2 linked regions of the Rattus norvegicus genome follow. Each later gene encodes a partner of the first gene's protein in a complex. Links are inferred from orthologs where the notes say so. Each region holds a gene or a part of one and is shown on either strand. Other genes may lie near its edges.

Region 1 (9,423 bases):
TCTTGCTCTATTAATTTAATTTTTAGATCACCATACATTGTAATGGGTTTCACCATGACATCTCCAAACATCTGTATCATTATACTTTGTTTTCTCTCTTTCTAACACGGTAACTAAACCTCTGGGGACCACAGCTCTACCACTGAGCAACAGCCTCCAAACGTTTTTCTTTCTATTTTAAGACTCGGTCTTACTAAGTTGTTCAGGCTAGCCTTGAGCTAGCTTTGCAGTACAAACCAGCCTTGGGCTAAATAAATCTTCCTGCCTCTGCCTTCCAAGTAGCTGGGATTCCAAGCCGGCACTGGCTGCCAAGTCTGACTGTATCTTATTCTGTAATCAACCGCAAAGAGTGAATGGTTGGTAGAAAAGAGGAGTCGGGTTCTGTGTGAGGGCAGAGCCCCATAACCTGTGGCTGAGACGAGGAAGGGCTCCTCCCCATTCTTCACTGGAACCCGTCAGTGGCACCAGCAAGCTAGTTTGAAAAGCTCTACAGTCACAGACACAGGTCAGGAAAAGCCACCTCCAGTAAACACAACAGCAGAGAACATAGCCAGCAGATGCAATGGTTTACAAATGTGAAGCTCGTGAGCTGTTCCCAGAGAAGAGAGGGCAGTCGAGACAGGAGCCCTAGGTCAAGGCCTAGCACACACACCCTCAAGGCAACAGAGCTGCCCTCACACAGGATCGAGGTAACTCAGCTTGTTTTCTCATAAGGCCGCTGGAGCCAAGAAGCGCAGGTTTACAATGTGATGCCAAGGGCGTCTCCACAAAACCACACACAGGGCTGGAGTCACAGCCCTCTCTCCTCTAGCACAAACCTTTTCCATATCTGGTCTCCCGACTTCCATGTAGGATCCACTCGAAATTATTCTTACAGATATAATCCACATGGGCACGGCATGCGGCGTGAAACAGGAGCATCTCGTTTTTATTTTTCATCTTTTCCTTCTTCCTAATGTAGAGAAAGGTGAGGTTCAGTACCAACAAAGAACAGTAGGCTGGCAAGATGGCCACCACGAGGCACGAGAGCCGAGTTCAGTCACCTGGACTCACGTGGTCAGAGGGGGGCAACTGACTCCCACAAGTTGTCTTGTGATGGATGTGCATGCCCCATATCAAATAAATAAATGTGCAAATAAAATAAAATGAATGCTCCCCCTTGATCTATTTTTTTTTTTTTGGTTCTTTTTTTTTTTCGGAGCTGGGGACCGAACCCAGGGCCTTGCGCTTCCTAGGTAAGCGCTCTACCACTGAGCTAAATCCCCAGCCCCCCCCCCCATCTATTTAAATAACATGACCCCAAACAAGGTCTGATTATGTCACCTTTCAAAAGCGTCCCAGAGTTTTTGGTTCCATATCCGCTTTATTCTCACAATCTTGAAAGGTTTCATGGATGCTTTAAACTGTTCGCTTACTGTGACATACTCCACATCCTGGTCATTGAGTTCTAGAAACTTAAAAAAAAAAGATGTTTAAATGTTAACTAGAAAACATTAGAAGCATGCTGATCATCACATGTGCCCACCCACACCAGGACCACCATGGCTGTTCTCAGGTGGGAAGGGCTGGCTTAGCATGTCCATATCTGGCCTCATGTTCATTCTGGTAATGATCCAACAGGCATGTGCCGGTCTGTTCAGGATAACTTATGCCGTATATGACTTAGTCCTGAGACCCAGGAAGGTAACTGCCCAAATTCCAAAACCCACCAGTGACAGAGAGATCAGAGATACCTATGGAACACAAGATTGGCCTTCACAAGAGCTGGAGGCTAAGCCAGACTAAGGAACAGTCTTGTCTCAGCCGGGCTAGTGGCAAAGTAGGACACTTGAAGTTGGCTACTGTTGCTCTCGGAATCCTGCTTTCTTTATCAGCTATGATCTCACAGGGTGGCTGTGAGAGTCTGCCTGAATGACGTTGCATCACTAGGAACACAGAAATGCCCTAGAAAACAGTTGTTCTCTGGGAATGCATCACCATCACACCCAGGCGCCTTGCCTTTGACTCTGGAGCTAAGTTTGGAAGAAGCAGTTCACTCATTCCGTTAACAAACCCATATGCTTCCTGTAAAGCATCTTCCCACCTTTACAGGATTCACCCACCAGACAAGCAAAGCCAGTTACCTCATATTCGTTGGGCAAAACAGTGCTAGCATTCTTCTGGGGAATAGAATTCAGAGCATCTGCCTTGGGCGTCACTGGCTGATGACTACAAATAAAGACAGAAGGAAATTTTACTTGGGTCCCTTTCTTTCTACCCTCAACACACAGCCAGAAAGTCTTTCTGGGTAATGTAGTATTGACTTCTATATTTACTCTGAACCACTCCTGAAAAATCCTGATTCCAGTAACCACAGGTTTTTACAAAGAGGTTCGATCATTTAGGAATGAATGTAAACGCTCCCTTTCCCAATACTTTAAACTATAAAGCACGGGCAGGTGAGACAGCAGTAGGTACCAGTTCTTGCCTGATGATGGGTCTTATTGCTAGATCCTTTCAGGTTGAAGGAAAGAACTGACTCTTTAGATTTTGTTATTGACTTCTTCCTGTGTGTATATGTGTGTGGGGCAGTGCATGCACACACCTAAACACACACACACACACACACACACACACACACACACACACACACACACACACACTGAGTAAATGAATGAATGAGTGGATATACATAAAACTACCATGTAAAGGCACCAATTCTTTTTTTGATGTATCTGCTCAACCTTCAAAGGTACAGGTGTGTCAGTGTGAGCTTGTGTGTCTTGTAACTTCTTTGTCAAATGGTAGACAGGTTAAGTATAGGACAGAGGAAGGGACCTTGCCTTTTTGTAGGAACTGTATTTCAGTGTGAGAGAGCAACTGGAAGACTGAAGTAACCTCAGCCATCCCTTAGTGTCAGTAAACAGAACAATCAGAGCAAAGCATCCTGACAAAAACCCAGCCCAGAACTGACAAGTCCTCAAAATCTAGTAACCAGCCTATAGAAGCCACCCATAAAATGGCCTCATTGGAATATGATGGAGTATATTTTGATCGATCAAACTACCTATTTCTTTTTTCTTACCCCGTTTTTTTTTTAATCGCATTTTTAAAAATAGAGGGTAGTCAGATGTGAGGCGCATACCTTTAATCCTAGCACTCAGGAGGCAGAACCATTGTGAGTTCGAAGACAGCCTGGTCTACGTATTGAATTTGATTGAGGCCAGGTAGGACTACACAGAAAGACCCTATCTCAGATACAAACAAATGAGAGGGGGAGGGGAGAAAAGAAAAGAAAATGTAGGGAATGGACTGAGGAGATGGTTCATTGGGTGTAGAGGAATTTTAATCTAGCAATATGGCTGCTCTGATCACATCCAAAGACATTGTAGGTCTGGGTGAACCTGCTGGAATGAATGCAGGCAAACTTTTTGGTCGGGATGCTTAGCACACACCTTTAACCCTTCTGGGTGGAACCCTTTAGTACACATCTTTAATCCCAAACAATGACAGCTAACTAAGGAGCAGACAAGGTGATGAACCAGAGAAGGATTTAATAGAATGAGCCAAATATGCCCAACTCTCAGGAGAAAAGCCATTTAAGAGCAGCATAGAAGGCTGGAGAGATGGCTCAACGGTTAAGAGCACCCGACTGCTCTTCCAGAGGTCATGAGTTCAATTCCCACCACCCACATGGTGGCTCACAACCATCTGCAAAGAGATCCGATGCCCTCTTCTGGTGTATCTGAAGACAGCTACAGTGTACTTAGATAGAATAAATGAATAAATCTTAAAAAAAAAAAAAAGAGCAGCATAGAGAGTTGGGAGTCTGTCTGTTCATTTGAGTGAAATTGAGTTTGGTGAGTCAGTTGGAAGTCAGTGCAGGGAGCCAAGTTCATTTGTGAGTTCACATGCAGGTCAGCAGAGGCAACTGAAGCCAGAGAATAAGAACAAGCCAGAAAATTAGAACAAATTCCCAGAGTTAGTTTGGGCCAAGCAGAACAATTCAGTGAGAAGTTGAGAGAAGCCAGACTGAATCAGTCAGCTTGGAGAAGAGTATGAACCAGAACAGCTATGTTGAAGCAGCCAGCCAGAGTTCAGAAAGAACTAGAAAGAGTGAGCTTTTCTCAGCAGTAAGCCTCTGAGAAGACAGTTATGTTAGGTGAATGGATGTTAGGTGAATAGAAATTACTTTCACAACTGGGAAAAGTGAGGATCTGATCTCAGATGCCCAGCATCCACATAAAAAAGCTATGCATAGCAGACCCCCCCCCCACAACACCAGTACACACAGGAAACTGGAAACAAGTGTTCCAGGGACTTGGTGGCTTGTGTGCAAGCTCTAGGTTCAGCTAGGAACTGTCTCGAGGTAGATTGAGGAAAACATACCAATGTCAAATTTTGCCCTCCACATGCACCAGAATTGGTGAGATCATAAGCATGCATGCACATGCACATAATTTTTGTATAATTTACTTATTTCTATCTTATGTGCATTGATGTAGTTACAGACAGTTGTGAGCTGTTACGTGGGTGATGAGAACCGAACTCAGGTCCTCTGGAAGACCAGGCAGTACTCTGAACCACTGAGCCATCTTTCCAGCCCCCCACACAACATTTTTTAAAAATAGAGACAGGTACACTTAAATAGTTTAAAAGCAGCTTAGGGATAAAATCAACTACAAAAGGTAATTTCAAAGAGAATGGGAAAATACATTGGGTGAATTGGGTATTACATGATAGTTAATGAATTACTGTCAATTTTAGTAGATGTCATATGTGTTGTCACAGAGTCTAATACCAGGAGGAAGACAAACCAAAGAGGCTGTCACTACTGAGCACGAGGCACACCAGCCTTGTTCCCAGGGTCTGAGGTGTATTTCAGCAGTGAGCACACTGCAGCTGCTAAGCATGTTATGTAGATGAGAGGGGGTAGCGTGGTTCCCCTACCCAAATCCCTGAAGCTAACGAACAGAGGGCAGGTGTGAACTTAGGTAATCTAGAACCTGGACCAAGCTGCTCCATCCTGCAGCGTCCTCCTGGACATGACTCTCTGCCTGTCTGCACTTTCTGGATGTTACTTCCATGTCGCCTTGTGGTAACCCACCTTTGACTCTCATAGCTACAAGAATCTAGAACAGTTTGATTTTTACACCTGCCTTGAAACCTGACTCATATATCACACACCCCCAGAGGGAAAAAATCCAACTGCAAAGTTTGTGAACAATGAGACTTTACTGAGTTTCATAGCAGATAGGCAAGTTACAATGAATTCCCCACAGCAAAACCCACCTTGAAATGCCCCATGGGTACAATGATTAGAAATCAATTAAAATTAAAACCAATGCCTTTAGCCAACTTGATCTTTCTCCAGCTCTTCACCAGGCTGCTAGCTTAAGCCTTTTTCTCAGCCCCCTGCCCTCACAGCACAACCAAAGACAGAAAGAGGACCCTCAGCAAAACAAAAACCCAGTGTATTTGCCGGCACACCCCTTGATCCAGTCAGTAACAGCTGGAGCAAGTGTGACCCAGAGTATGGAGAGCTGCTAAAATACCCTGTAAGTTAAAAGCAAATGCTGGTTTAATGATATAGTATCCTTCCCACCCTATACCCAAAATCCAAACCTTATATCTATTACACAAAGCTTAACCAAGTGCCTGCACCCCTTGGCCCCCTGGTCCAGGAAACTTTCAGTTATGCCACATTGCTTAACAATCTTCCTTACTCATAGGTAAATCAAATAGAAACTGCAGTGAGACAGAGGCAGGAACTTCCCAACAACACAGAATCCAGATGCATGATGCAGCACGACGCAGCAAGATCATGGCCAGAGCTAACAGCTTCAGAACACTTACTCTGGAGCTCTTCTCTTCTGCTCCACATCGTTCGAAGAAACAAATACTGGCCTTCTGACAACATGCCTTTGAGTCTTGGAAGCTATATTTGTCTGAATCATCCCTTTAGACAAAAATGAAATAAAATAAAGATTAAGACTTGATACTAGAAAATGACTCATTTTTCCCTCAGAGGTCATTTCTACAGCAAACATTCATGACTGAATCTTTTTCTTTATTTCGTCTTTGTTCTTCTTTTCAAGACAGGGTTTATCTGTTTAGCCTTGGCTGTCCCAGAACTTACTTTGTAAACCAGGCTAACCTCAAACTGACTGAGATCCACCTGCTTCTGCCTCTTGATTGCTGGGATTAAAGGTGTGTACCATGAATGAATCTTACATGCACAGAGAAGAGAAATTTTAGATAAAGCAACTGTAGACCTGGTTCAAAATTCCAAGAGTGACTTTTTTCAATGACCATGCATGGCTAGAATATAAAACAATATTTCTCTTTGGAGCTTTTCATAAAGTCCAACATATCTAGGAACACTACCCAAATAAATGAAAACCTGGATCCACACAAAAAGAGCTGCATTACTTATGACCAAACACTGGAAAGCAACTGGTGGATAATAAACTATAAAACGTATTCACAATGGAATATTATTCAGCAGATAAAAGTGAAGAACTACTATACATACCACAACATAAATGATTCTAGAACCCACTTTTTTTTTTTTTAAGATTTATTTATTTATTATATATAAGTACACTGTAGCTGTCTTCAGATACACCAGAAGAGGGCATCAGATCTCTTTACAGATGGTTGTGAGCCACCATGTGGTTGCTGGGAATTGAACTCATGACCTCTGGAAGAGCAGTCGGGTGCTCTTAACCGCTGAGCCATCTCTCCAGCCCTAGAACCCACTATTTTGAATGAAAGAACTCAGCTATGTGTGAATATATACTTTGAGAATCTTTTAATAGATTTAGTAGAGTGGGGCCTTATAAACAAGTCAGAACAGGGCTAGGCAGTGGTGTGCTTGCCTTTAATCCCAGCACTAGGGGCAGGTAGATTTTTGTGAGTTGAGTAGAGTCTGGTCTACAAAACAAGTTCTAGAGCTATGTAAAGAAACCCTGTCTCAACACCCCTAGCCCCCGACACCCACAAAAGAAAGAAAGACAAGGGATTGGGGATTTGGCTCAGTGGCAGAGCGCTTGCCTAGGAAGGGCAAGGCCCTGGGTTCGGTCCCCAGCTCCGGAAAAAGAAAAAAGAACCAAAAAAAAAGAAAGACAAAAGGAGGCATGGCAAACTTTTGGACAGATGGAAATGTGTCATATGTAATGTCAATGCTCAGCCAGCTGCGTACGTGAAATGGATTCATTTTACTGAGACATTAGGACTCGGTCAGGGTGATAGAACAGAACAAATAAAATCAAACGGGTGAGTTGGATATTGCTGCAATGATACTCAAAGTCTTCCCATGGCTCTGATGTTAAAAACATGGCTCAATCAACAAGAGCACAGGCTGCTCACCTAATGGGCCCACATTTGATCCACACCACCCACTGTAGCTTACAAATCTGAAGTACAATGGTTTTCACTTGGTAATAACTCATTCAAGTTTGTCTGTTTTGCTCTGGGGGTGGGGGGGGGGTATTTTGTGTTCAGATTGGGTCTCACCATGCATTCCTAATAGCCCCGGAACTCACAGAGATTCTCTAGCCTCTGACTCCCAAGTGCAGAGATTAAAGACATGCCCTGGGTCTCCACTAGGGTTTTATTATTTTTGTTTGTTTGTTTGTTTCTGTTTTTGTTTTGTTGGTGGTGGTAGTTTTGGTGGAGTTTTGAGATAGAGTTTCTCTATGTAGCCTTGGTTGTCCTGGAAATTGCTCTGTAGACCAGGCCAGCCTCGAACGCACAGAGATCCAGCTGCCTCTGCCTCCTGAGTGCTGGGATTAAAGGTATGGGTTACCATCACCCAGCTCCAATTAGTTTTGGGAGGCATTTTTCTCACTTCCTGATTAGGTGGGAGACCCAGCCCACTGTGGGCGGTGCCATGCCCAGGCAGACTGAACTGTTCTCTGTAAGGTGGTAAAGTACCTTTAGAGCACTTTGCTTTATAGTAAAGTAAAGTAAGCCAGGGGAACAGTAAGAAACAGCCCTCTGTGGTGTCTCTCAAACTCCTGCCTTGGCCTGTCCTAACTTTTCCTCCCTCAGTTGTTTTTGGTAATGGTGTCTATTACAGCGACAGAGATGCTAGCTAGGACACTGTCCTAGCTAGTAAACAAGCTAGGACACTGACCCCCAACAACCGACTGACATTTGATACCCTAGCTTCTTTACTCACTGTCTAGAGGACACAGAGGAGAGGAAGCAGTGGGCATATTTCAACAAGGCTTGGTGGGAATGCCAGGTCGATCTCCAAAAGCGTTTGGTGTCACATAATCCCGAAAGTTACGTTGTTTACAACATAATGAATGGCTCAAGCCTCAGAGACAACTGGGAAAGCTAAGGACTTGAGAAAGTCTCACTTCTTCAAAACTGGCCCTGAAAGGGCAAGTGTTTGGCTACTTGCAGGCATGTCTCTGAGGCATGATCCCAAGGGGACAGGACTTTCAGTCAAGCTGGCCTTGGAGCTCATTTCTCTTTCACTTCATAACAGACTGGTGGCAGCTACCCAGAACGCCTTCCCACAGAGGTTCAACTACACATGGTGACTGGCCAAGTGCCCAAGTGGAGGAGATAAATGATCCAGAGGCAAGGCATGAAGAGCAAGTTTCTAGATGTCTAAGGCTGTCCAGAGGCCCAAGCTCTCCACCATAGTCATCCAAAACTAAATAGTGAAGGGTCCCACCCAGAATCAGAAACATAATCTGACGGAGCTGAAGAGCCCTCTAGAGATGTCTGTCCAAACCTCTGAGTACTGGGAGAGAAGTGGGCAGAGAGTCTGGAGGCTCTTCTGGGGGCTGCACAGAAAGTCTGCTGGGAACAGGGCCCCAGGCCACCGGCTATCACTCCACTCGCAGAGACTATTCCCCCAGCTAAAAAAGACCCTGGGCCTTGGGCGTGACACGGATATGCACCATCTACTCTTGTGTGCTCAGTGCCAGATTGGACAGACCACACCACCAAAGACAAGAACTCACCTTGAAAGCTTAACTCGTACTTCTGTGAACCAGCCTGGAATGGCAAAACTCCCCTGGGACAAGACTGGAAGAAAGACTCCAGGTACGCAGAGTTGATGTCAGAGCTGGTGTGGCCTGGGCTCTATTCACACAAAAATGAAGAAGACATAGGTAAAGACTTTTGGGAAATCTCTACCCTTCTATCTCACAGTTTTGCTTTAGTGACACAATCAGGGAGGCTCACAGTGCTGGCTATACTTGCTTCGAGGGCCTGCTGCAGGATATTTGATCACACTGGGAACCCCAAGACGCATTGTTTACAGAAAAAAAACAAAACAAAACAAAACCTGTTTCTAGTTGTGGTGTGGCCCAGCCCTAGCACACACCCTTAACTGGAAACAGGCAAGTGCAGACTGGACGTAAAACCCTACATTCAGGGGCTCGAGATACAGCAGTTGCCAAACACTTCCTTGAGAACTAG
Region 2 (9,423 bases), on another chromosome or scaffold:
CTCACTGCTCACCTCGTGCTTGTATGAAGCGCTTTATTGTCTGCAGATACTGGGCACCTGAGCTCTGCAAAAGCTGGTGGCATAAATAGGTGACAGAACCCCCAAATGCAGAACAGTTGTTTGAACATTCTGGGAAAGGGGGAGCAAACCTTTAAAGTAAGTAGAACGCAGGAACACAATCTTTGAACGGTAGGAGCGTTTGGAACAGGGTATGGTGAGAGGCCACCAGGCTCAGGATGGAAGGGACTGTTGGAATCCCAGCCCCAGGTTTCCTTAGTGATCTGCTTTCTCCGTGGCCTCGACCCTAACTCTTAGTGAATCAAATCAACCTCTTTGTCTCAGGACCCTTCTCCATTCATTCACCCTTCTTGTGAATGTCAAAGGAGGCTAAGTTACGTGCTTGCCTGTTCCTGGTGCTAAGCAGGAGTCCAGTGAGGTTCCCTCTTAACATTGCATGGGCCCAGTTAAATGTGGCATGAAGCTGGGTGTGGTAGTCACTCCTGTTGTCCCAGCACATGAGAGACTGAAGCAGGATAGTTAGTCCCTATCAATTTGAAGCCAGCATGAGCTACAGAGTATGTTCCAGGCTAGCCTGGACAACAAGGTGAGACCCTGTCTCAGTGCACTAAGAAAAAAATAAAGGCAAGAAGTGGTGTGTAATACCATCTCTGTTTATAGAGGTAGAGGCAGAAGCCAAGTGGTTAACTCCCTTGGCAATAAAAATTAGAATTTAAGGTTACCATTTAGGCAAAGTCAAATATAGGGTTTGTTCCTGCCATACTCGCACACGTGGTGTGGAAATACATGCGTTTAAGGCTAATCGGCTATTTTAAAACCTTCGTAAAGTTTACGTTCTATTTCACGTGTAGTGGTGTTTTGCCTGCGTGCATGGGTGTGCACTGTGAGCGTGCCTGGTGCCCAGAGTCCCGAAAGGGTGTTGGAGCTTCTGGAGCTGGAGTTCCAGGCTGTTGTAAGTTGCCTGATGTGGATGCTGGGAACCAAATGCAGGGCTTTGCTGCACAGCTGGTGCTCGTTCTTAACCTTTGGGCCATCTCTCTGGCTCGATTTAAAATCTTTTAATAGCTGTAAATACTTATTCCTTTAGACATTCATTCAGTTTTTAAAAATTAGTTTCCAAGTCACAGTGGTTATCTCAGTTTATTTTCCTATAATGGTAATAAAATACTCTGACAGGAGAGACTTCCGGGGCCGGAGGAATGGAATGGCTAAGGGGTAAAAGTGCTTGCTGCTCTTTCAGGGGACCGAGCGGCTTGTTTCCCAGCACTCACACCGTGCAGCTCACACAGCTAAATGGACTTTGTGAGCCCGCAGTGTGTATGTGCAGACACATACAACCGGACTTGGATCGCTGGGCCCAAATGGTAAAAGGAGTGGACTGACCTCTGCAAGTTGTTCTCTGATCTTCACATTCTCATTGTGTCACGTGTGTATGCACACACACACACACACACACACACACACACACGCACACACACACACACACACACACACTGTGCACACACACACACACACACCACACAAATTTAAAAAGCAACTTTAAGGGTCGGAGAGCTAGCTCAGTGGTTAAGAGCACTGACAGCTCTTCCAGAGGTCCTGAGTTCAATTCCCAGCAACCACATGGTGGCTCACAGCTATCTGTAATGGGATCTGATGCCCTCCTCTGGTGTGTCTGAAGATAGCTACGGTATAATGCATAAAATGAATGACTCTTAAAAAGCAAAAAGCAACCTTAAGGAGGATAATTTCAGCTCTCAGCTTCAGCTTTTGTCAGTTTCAGGTTCTGTCCATCATAGGTGGGAAGTCACTGTAACAGGAACTTAAGGGTCACATCACATCCATGGTCAGGAAGAGAGAGCAATGAATGCATACATGATAGTGCTCAGCTTGCTTCCTCATAGGATCCAGAATCTGCTGCCTAGGGAATGGTGTCACTCACAGTGGATTGATCTTTCCACTCTAATTAGCGACCTTCTTACAGACCACCTGATCTAGACGGTCCCTCTCTGTGAATGCTTCTCAGGTGATTCCAGGTTGTGTTAAGTTGACAGTTAAATCTAAGCAGCAGAATGATTGTATGTTTTAGCTTTCCAGATGTTTAGCTTTTACCACTTAGAAGTAAACAGTATTGTACAACAGGTACTTCACTTTCTTTGTGTCCCAGTTAGGTTTCTATGCTGTGATACATGCCATGATCCTAGGAAGCTTGGGGAGGAAGGGTTTTATTTCATCTTAAACTTTCAGGCAATTGTCACCCTGATTGGCGTTCAGGGCGGGGACCCGGAGGCAGGGATTGGTACAGAGACTGCAGGGGATGCTACTTACTGGCTTGCTCAGCTGATTTCCTTTTCTTTTCTTTTCTTTTTTTTTTGGTTCTTTTTTTCGGAGCTGGGGACCGAACCCAGGGCCTTGCGCTTCCTAGGTAAGCGCTCTACCACTGAGCTAAATCCCCAGCCTTATTTATTTTTATATGAGTACACTGTAGCTGTCTTCAGACACACCAGAAGAGGGCATCAGATCCCATTACAGATGGTTGTGAGCCACCATGCGTTGCTGGGAATTGAACTCAGGATCTCTGGAAGAGCAGTCAGTGCTCTTAACTGCTGAGCCACCTCTCCAGCTCGTCAGCTGGCTTTTTTTATATCACCCAGGGACACCTGCCTAGATGGGCACTGCCCACCATGGGCTGGTCCTTCTTTTATCAATTAGCAATCAAGAAAATGTCCCATAAACTTGCCTACAGGCAATCTGATGAATCATTTTTCTCAACTGAGGGTCCTCCTTCTAAATAATTATATTGTGTCAAGTTAGAAAAAAAAACGCAAAACAAAAAACCCCCAAACCCAACCAGGACACTCCCGCTGGGCCTGGTGTTTTTTGGACAGGATCTCATTGTGAAGCCCTCGGCTGGACTGGTGCTTCATCTGTGTAGCCCAGGTTGGCTTTGAGCTTGTGGTAATCCTCCTGCTTCTGCCTCCTGAGCGCTGCTATTTTGTTCTGGGTCTAGGTTTCTGTTTACCTAAGACAGTCAGCTGTTGTCCACATCAGCTTTGTAACAGAATTGACACTGGAGGCTGAGTCAGTTTTAATGCTCAGTTACGTAGAACCTGGGGGGTACATGATGTAAACTTGGGAAATCGGTGCAGCGAAGCACAACAGGGCCTAGGGAATGAGTGCCGCAGAGCAGGATGCATCTTCACACGAAAGCAGTGAACTGCTTAACTAGAAAGGGCCTCTTGTTTATGTCACAGAGCATGGCATCCCTTAGCTTGCTTCCCAAACGCCTGTCCTACCTGTTCCTGTTCCTGGTCTTCTCTGTACCACAGTGCTTTTCAGGTACTGACCACCCACTTCTAACTTGGAGACTTGGAGAAAGAACTCTGGGGCTGGAGTTGGTCCAGGATCCTCTGTAAATCAAGCACTTCAGGACCTGGGGGTAGGGAGCCCTATTGTGACTGTGTTTTACAGGAAGGAAGGGTTGCTCATTGAGAAGGATGTGGGCTGGATCACTTTGGTTTTAAAAGTCTAAAGTCTACCCACCACCTTGTGAATGTTATTGTGGATGCAGAGTTACTAAAACGGGACCTGGGTATGGTGGCAAATATCTTTAATGCCAGCACTTGGGAGGTAGAGGCAGAGGCAGGAAGATGAGGAATTTGAGGTTAGCTTCAGCCATTCAGTGAGTTGGAGGCAAGCCTGGGCTATGTAACCTCCTGTCTCAAAATAAAACAAAATAGAACAAGAGGATTACTAAAGTGGGCTTCAGGTGTCTTTATTAAAATTTTGGGTTTGGAGAGATGGCTCAGTGGTTAGGTGCACTGGCTGATCTTTTAGAGGTTCTGAGTTCGGGCTGGAGAGATGGCTCAGCGGTTAAGAGCACCCGACTACTCTTCCAGAGGTCCTGAGTTCAATTCCCAGCAACCACATGGTGGCTCACAACCATCTGTAAAGAGACCCGATGCCCTCTTCTGGTGTGTCTGAAGTCAGCTATAGTGTACTTATATATAATAAATGAATAAAATCTTAAAAAAAAAATTTAGAGGTTCTGAGTTCAATTCCCAGCAGTCACATAGCAGTTCACAATCTTATGCCCTCTTCTGGTCTGTGGGCACACATGCAGACAGACAAAGCACCTGAAAAAACCAACCTCCCCCCAAAAAACCCAAAACAACAACAACAAAATCATCAAAAAAATCAAAAGAAACTCTTAGAAACCATAACAAAAAATTTTGAAGTTTTATTTTTCTATTTATTTTTTGAGATAAGGTCTCCCAAATGTAGGCTGGCTTCAGGCTCAGTGAGTAACTGGGGATGACCTTGAACTCATTCCCTTGTCTTCACCTTCTGAATGTGGCAGTTGCTGGTGTATGTTACCAGGCCCTGTTCATGTGGTGCTGGAGACAGAACCGAGGGCCTCATGCATGCCAGCTGGGCACTCCACCAAGCAAGCCTTAGTGCCGGAAAGCAAGCTCCTTGGGTGCCTTTCACTAAGGGCTTAGGATGCATTCGGAGACGGAGGGAATAGTTTGAGAAACTGAAGTCAGAGAGCAGAGCATGTGTTAAGAGTATAATCTGGGGGCTGGGGATTTAGCTCAGTGGTAGAGCGCTTACCTAGGAAGCGCAAGGCCCTGGGTTCGGTCCCCAGCTCCGAAAAAAAGAACCAAAAAAAAAAAAAAAAGAGTATAATCTGATCATTCACCTTAGCTAGAGTTGAGGGCACTTGAGGGAATCCAGAGAGAGAGAGAGAGAGAGAGAGAGAGAGAGAGAGAGAGAGAGTGTGTGTGTGTGTGTGTGTGTGTGTGTGTGTGAGGGGGTAGAGTTGGGGGCGAACTGGAAGGGTGACGTGGCGCCCCTTAGCTGCCAGGCCTGGACCTGCGGCCTTTAGTCAAGGTTTTTCACTTGGGCTGGGTTGGCTGAAGGGTGGGTGTGGGAGAGCTGTGAAGGGGAGAGCAGGCGAGACTGGCAGACTGTGGGTAGTTAGGTAAGGTAGATGAATTAATTGGTTGAAGGCTGGGCAGTAGTCTTAGTTTTAATGTCTGACTTATTAAAGTGATTGTGGCCCTCGGAAAGAAGGCAGTGTGGAAGTTCTGCAGTGGAAGGCTTTTCAGAGATAAATGCAGGTTTGTGAGTAACGTGGGAGAGAGAGCTAGATTGTACTGGTTCTTAGTGTCCAGTGAAGGCCGTGGTGAATGGTGCTGTTGGGAGACACCTTAACTGCCTTGGGTTCTTCACTGTTTCTCCTCTAACCTTGGGTCTCTGTCTAGTTAGTCACGGGTAGCTGGATGATGCTGAGAGAGAAGCTGACTATGGAGGCACAGGCTGTGTGTGATCTTAGCTACTTGGGGGGCCGAGGTAGGAATGATTGAGAGTTCAAAGCCTGCTAGGGCTACAGAGCAAATTCAAGGCTAGACTGAGTAACTTAGTAAAATCCTGTCTCTGATTTTTTTTTTTTTTGTTTGTCTTTGAGACAGGTTCTCTATGTAGCCCTGGCTGTCCTGGAACTATGTAGGCCAGGCTGGCTTAGAACTCACAGAGATTCACCTACCTCTGCCTCCTGGGTGCTGGGATTAAAGGTGTGCACCATCATATCCTGCCTGTCTCCCTGCTCTGCCCAAACCTGATGATCTCTATCTCTTATCTCTGTCTGTCTGTCTATCATCTATGTATCTATCTATCTTACCTGTCTGTCTGCCTATCATCTGTCTGTCTATCTGTCTGTCCATCTATCCATTTATCTCTAACCTGTATCTATGTATCTATTATCTGTCATCTGTCTGTCTGTCTATATGTACATATGTATCATTCATCTGTTTATCTGTTGGTCATCTACTTTTTTTTTGGTTCTTTTTTTCGGAGCTGGGGACCGAACCCAGGGCCTTGCGCTTCCTAGGCAAGCGCTCTACCACTGAGCTAAATCCCCAGCCCCTGTTGGTCATCTACTTATCTATCTTTTCTATGTATCTATCATCTATATCATCTATGTATCTATCTACCTATCGTCTATCTATATCTATTTATGTATCTGTTCACCATCTATCTGTCTATCACCTACCTATCTACTTGCCTACCTACTATCTCAGTGGTAAAGCACTTGCCTAGGATGCATGAGACTCTGGGCTCAATTCCCAAGAAGCCTTCCTCACCCTTCTGCAGTTGAGTGAATGAGTTGGGAGACTATTTCCATCACCAGAAGTGGGTCACAGGCACTGTTAGCTTACTGTGGGGTCTGTCCTTGGAGAACCCCAGAACAGTGTCTGTGTTTTGAGACAGGTTCATGGTGAAGCTGGCTGAAGAGACTGATGGGATCATTGTCTCCAATGACCAGTTCCGGGATCTGGCTGAGGAGTCTGACAAGTGGATGGCGATCATCAGAGAGCGGTGAGAGAATAGGGCACCAGCTCAGACCTTTCTCTAAACCAGCTCTTCTCTGGCCACTGGGTGAGAATCTTGGGAAAGGGCTTGAAGATACCTCAAAGGATGATAGCCAGTAGCTCCTGGTGGTGTTGATCTCAGACGCCTGGGAGGGAGGCGAGGTCATCTCTGTGACTTCCTCTTTCCTCCTGTAGCCTTCTGCCCTTCACCTTTGTGGGGAACCTCTTCATGGTCCCAGATGATCCACTGGGGCGAAATGGCCCCACCCTGGATGAGTTTCTGAAGAAGCCGGTCAGGTAACGCCCCTACTTCTGCAGGCAGTCTGTAGATCTGCTGCTCTTTGAAGGATTGGGGGCATGGATGGAGTGTCACAGTTTGGGTCTATCCTTTAAAATCTCCCCAGGGAGTCCTGACGGGCCTTTGTACTGGGCAGAAGAATTTTTATTTCATTTCTCTTCTGCTCAGTGTGTTTGATGGAGCCAACTGGGGGTGGTTGATGTAGTGATAGCTGGTCGTACCCCATGCCCTCCCTTGGCTCATTAATAAGTGATTAAATAAGGACATCTCATTAGGGTTCTGTCTTCCTATGGGGTCAATACTGCCTCTCAGTGGCCTGCTTAGGAAACCTCGTAAGTTCATCTACAGCTAGAAAGAGGTGCCTGGAGGCTCAGTTTTTCCTCCAGAGTGCTTATCAGTCTTATTCTGCCTTTTTTCCAGGAAGCAGGGCTCCTCTAAGTCTCAGCAGCCCTCCAAAGGTCCCACAGAACATGGTCATCAGCAGCAGGGGAAGGAAGTGGAGAAGGGCAGTGGTGGCATTCGGAAGACCCGGGAGACAGAGCGGCTCCGGCGCCAGCTGCTTGAAGTGTTTTGGGGTCAGGACCACAAGGTGGACTTCATCCTGCAGCGGGAACCATACTGCCGGGATATTAATCAACTTTCTGAGGCCCTGCTGAGTCTCAACTTCTGAGCCTTTCTGCCCTGCATAGCTGCTACCCTACTAGAATCAGCCTCCCCCAGCCCAGCCTCCTCACTTATGGTCCCTCTGCTGTTCAGACTATGACCTAGACTCATTCTAAAATGGCGTTTCAGCCAGACAAAGTACCAGAGAAGAGAATTTGAGTGTGGGAATACTCTTGCCTGAGGTACTTTAAGGACAGATCCTTAAAGTGACTCAACGTGAGGGAGGAGTGCAGCCAGCATTCCTTCAGACACACGAGGGTACAACTCGTACCCTCGTGAGGTTTTGATCAGACTCCACTCCTCAACTTTGTCTTAACAGAGGGTTTCTGTAGGGTGCAGAGGCTGTTCCTGGAGATGGAGACTGTGGCTTCATTACCAAGTTACTTGGTTGGAGGCTAGGGTAGCCTGGAGGGGACACAAAGGGTAAGCCGAGAAAGAAAGCGCCCTCTGGCTGCCCCTCTGAGTGGCTAGGATAGGCTGAGCTGTACCCTCGTGTGTCTGAAGGAATGCTGGCTCCTGGAGGGGTCACAGCGCTATGTGCACTGTTGTAGTGGGACAGCTGAGAGGCAGAAGGTAGAGGCGGGCAGGCTTCCAGTCTCAGTTGTGCCTTGGTTGTGACCTTGACGGAGTTGCTTGGCCTTTACTTCGGGCATAAAAATAACTTTGAGGGAAACGAGAACAGAGAAGGCGGCTCCCGTGAGGAACTGTGTACATGGATCATGGCTCAGGTGTGGCTGCCTGTGGCTGCACAGGCTCCCTAACCAAAACTTCACTTTCAGAGGTGTCCACTGTCTATACCCTCGATTTTCACGCTGGGTTTTCCGTAGAACATGCCCTGTAATGGCTGCATTCCTTTCCAGCAACCTTCAAAACGCGTTAACAGAATAGTCAAGGTAGGGTTGACGGATGCGTTACTTCAGTACTCTCAGGGCTCCTCTAAATGGCAGCTGGTCAAGTGTTTCAAGTGTTTACAGATCGACGAGGCCCCGGTTAAATCCTCTTTCTGGTGTTGGGCCTAGTCACCAAACCCATGACGTCATGATTCGCAGTGCTTAATGAGACCTATCTAATATTTTCTTTATGAAAGACAGGATTCATTCGGCAAAGACACACTGCTGCATATCGGGTGTCTGGGAAGTGGAGCTGAAGCCTCAGGATTGAAAGATACCTGATTGGTTACAGACCAACTCCACTGACCTATCGTGACACCCTGTTTACATTCGAATTCCCACACGTCATTGTTTTCTCTCTGAACTCTTTCTGTGCCAGGGAATTTACTATCAACAAGGTGGCACATTCCTTATGTGGACCTGTTAATCAGTTTTTCTCTAGTGTAGTCTAACATGCTTTTCTGTTTTACTTTTATCTTCCCCAGGAATAATTCAGAGCTGGTTAACTTTTTAGAGGCTAGGGTCAGATAGAGGTATAAAAAGGTGAGGCAGGTGCCCCTGGGTTCATGTAGTAAGTCCCCCAATTAATTAGATGGTTTCCTGACTCTGACTTACTCCAGGAGACACAGAGAGTTGACTGTGTGGCCCTTTGGGTCCCAGTGTCCTTGTTTTGTTGGGCAATTTTCAGTTCACGCAAGGTGAGGTGTTGGAGACAAGTTGATCAGGGAAATGACAAGGGAAGAGAAGAGAGTGGTCTGGACTGGGCACTGGTAGAACTGCTCTTTAAGTTTGTGATTGGTGTCTTGCTCTTTTTGCCTGCCATGATGGTGGGTGTACAGGGGGCTGGGATTATCTTCCCTTTTATGCTATGGGGCCTGGAAGGCTGAATGTTCCCAAGAAGATGAGAGACGAAGCCTAGGTTTATAGAGGGACAGCGACTCTGTCTTACTGCAGTATGACAAGCTGGAACCTGGATGTGTTTATTAATTCATGGCCGTTTGGTGAATGCTGAAGGCTAACTAACCTACAGGGCCTTTCCTCTCCACTTTGGCTGGCATCCTCTGAACAGGTGGTCAGGTGACGCCAGAACTCACTGGAAATAGATTTTTATATATATTATCTTTAATCTCTGTTATAACCTCATGTCTCCCCAGTTCGTTTGGGAAGAGAGACCATGAAAGGA

What was found.
Region 2: the proteins of Zc3hav1 (region 1) and Khnyn are in contact, whole or in part, in a crystal structure (PDB 9BGL), measured with the Homo sapiens proteins. The link is inferred for Rattus norvegicus from reciprocal best matches to the Homo sapiens genes ZC3HAV1 and KHNYN. Residues at the interface, in NP_064504.2 of Homo sapiens: Glu5, Val6, Cys8, Phe9, Lys12, Ile13, Ala16, His17, Glu29, Ile30, Ala31, Leu32, Leu113, Glu115, Phe118, Ser127, Gly128, Leu129, Asn130, Glu133; in NP_001277186.1 of Homo sapiens: His651, Lys652, Asp654, Phe655, Gln658, Arg659, Pro661, Tyr662, Asn677, Phe678.

The regions. Positions count from the first base shown.
Region 1 is NC_086022.1:67,983,883-67,993,305, forward strand, and holds part of Zc3hav1 (zinc finger CCCH-type antiviral protein 1), read right to left. Parts: intron 9,085-9,423; coding exon 8,964-9,084; intron 5,939-8,963; coding exon 5,836-5,938; coding exon of another isoform or gene 5,832-5,835; exon of another isoform or gene 5,196-5,831; intron 2,209-5,195; coding exon 2,124-2,208; intron 1,455-2,123; coding exon 1,324-1,454; intron 953-1,323; coding exon 819-952; intron 1-818.
Region 2 is NC_086033.1:33,338,514-33,347,936, forward strand, and holds part of Khnyn (KH and NYN domain containing), read left to right. Parts: intron 1-5,489; coding exon of another isoform or gene 5,490-5,502; exon of another isoform or gene 5,503-6,282; intron 6,283-6,288; coding exon 6,289-6,396; exon of another isoform or gene 6,397-6,456; intron 6,457-6,584; coding exon 6,585-6,686; intron 6,687-7,107; coding exon 7,108-7,357; 3' UTR 7,358-9,423.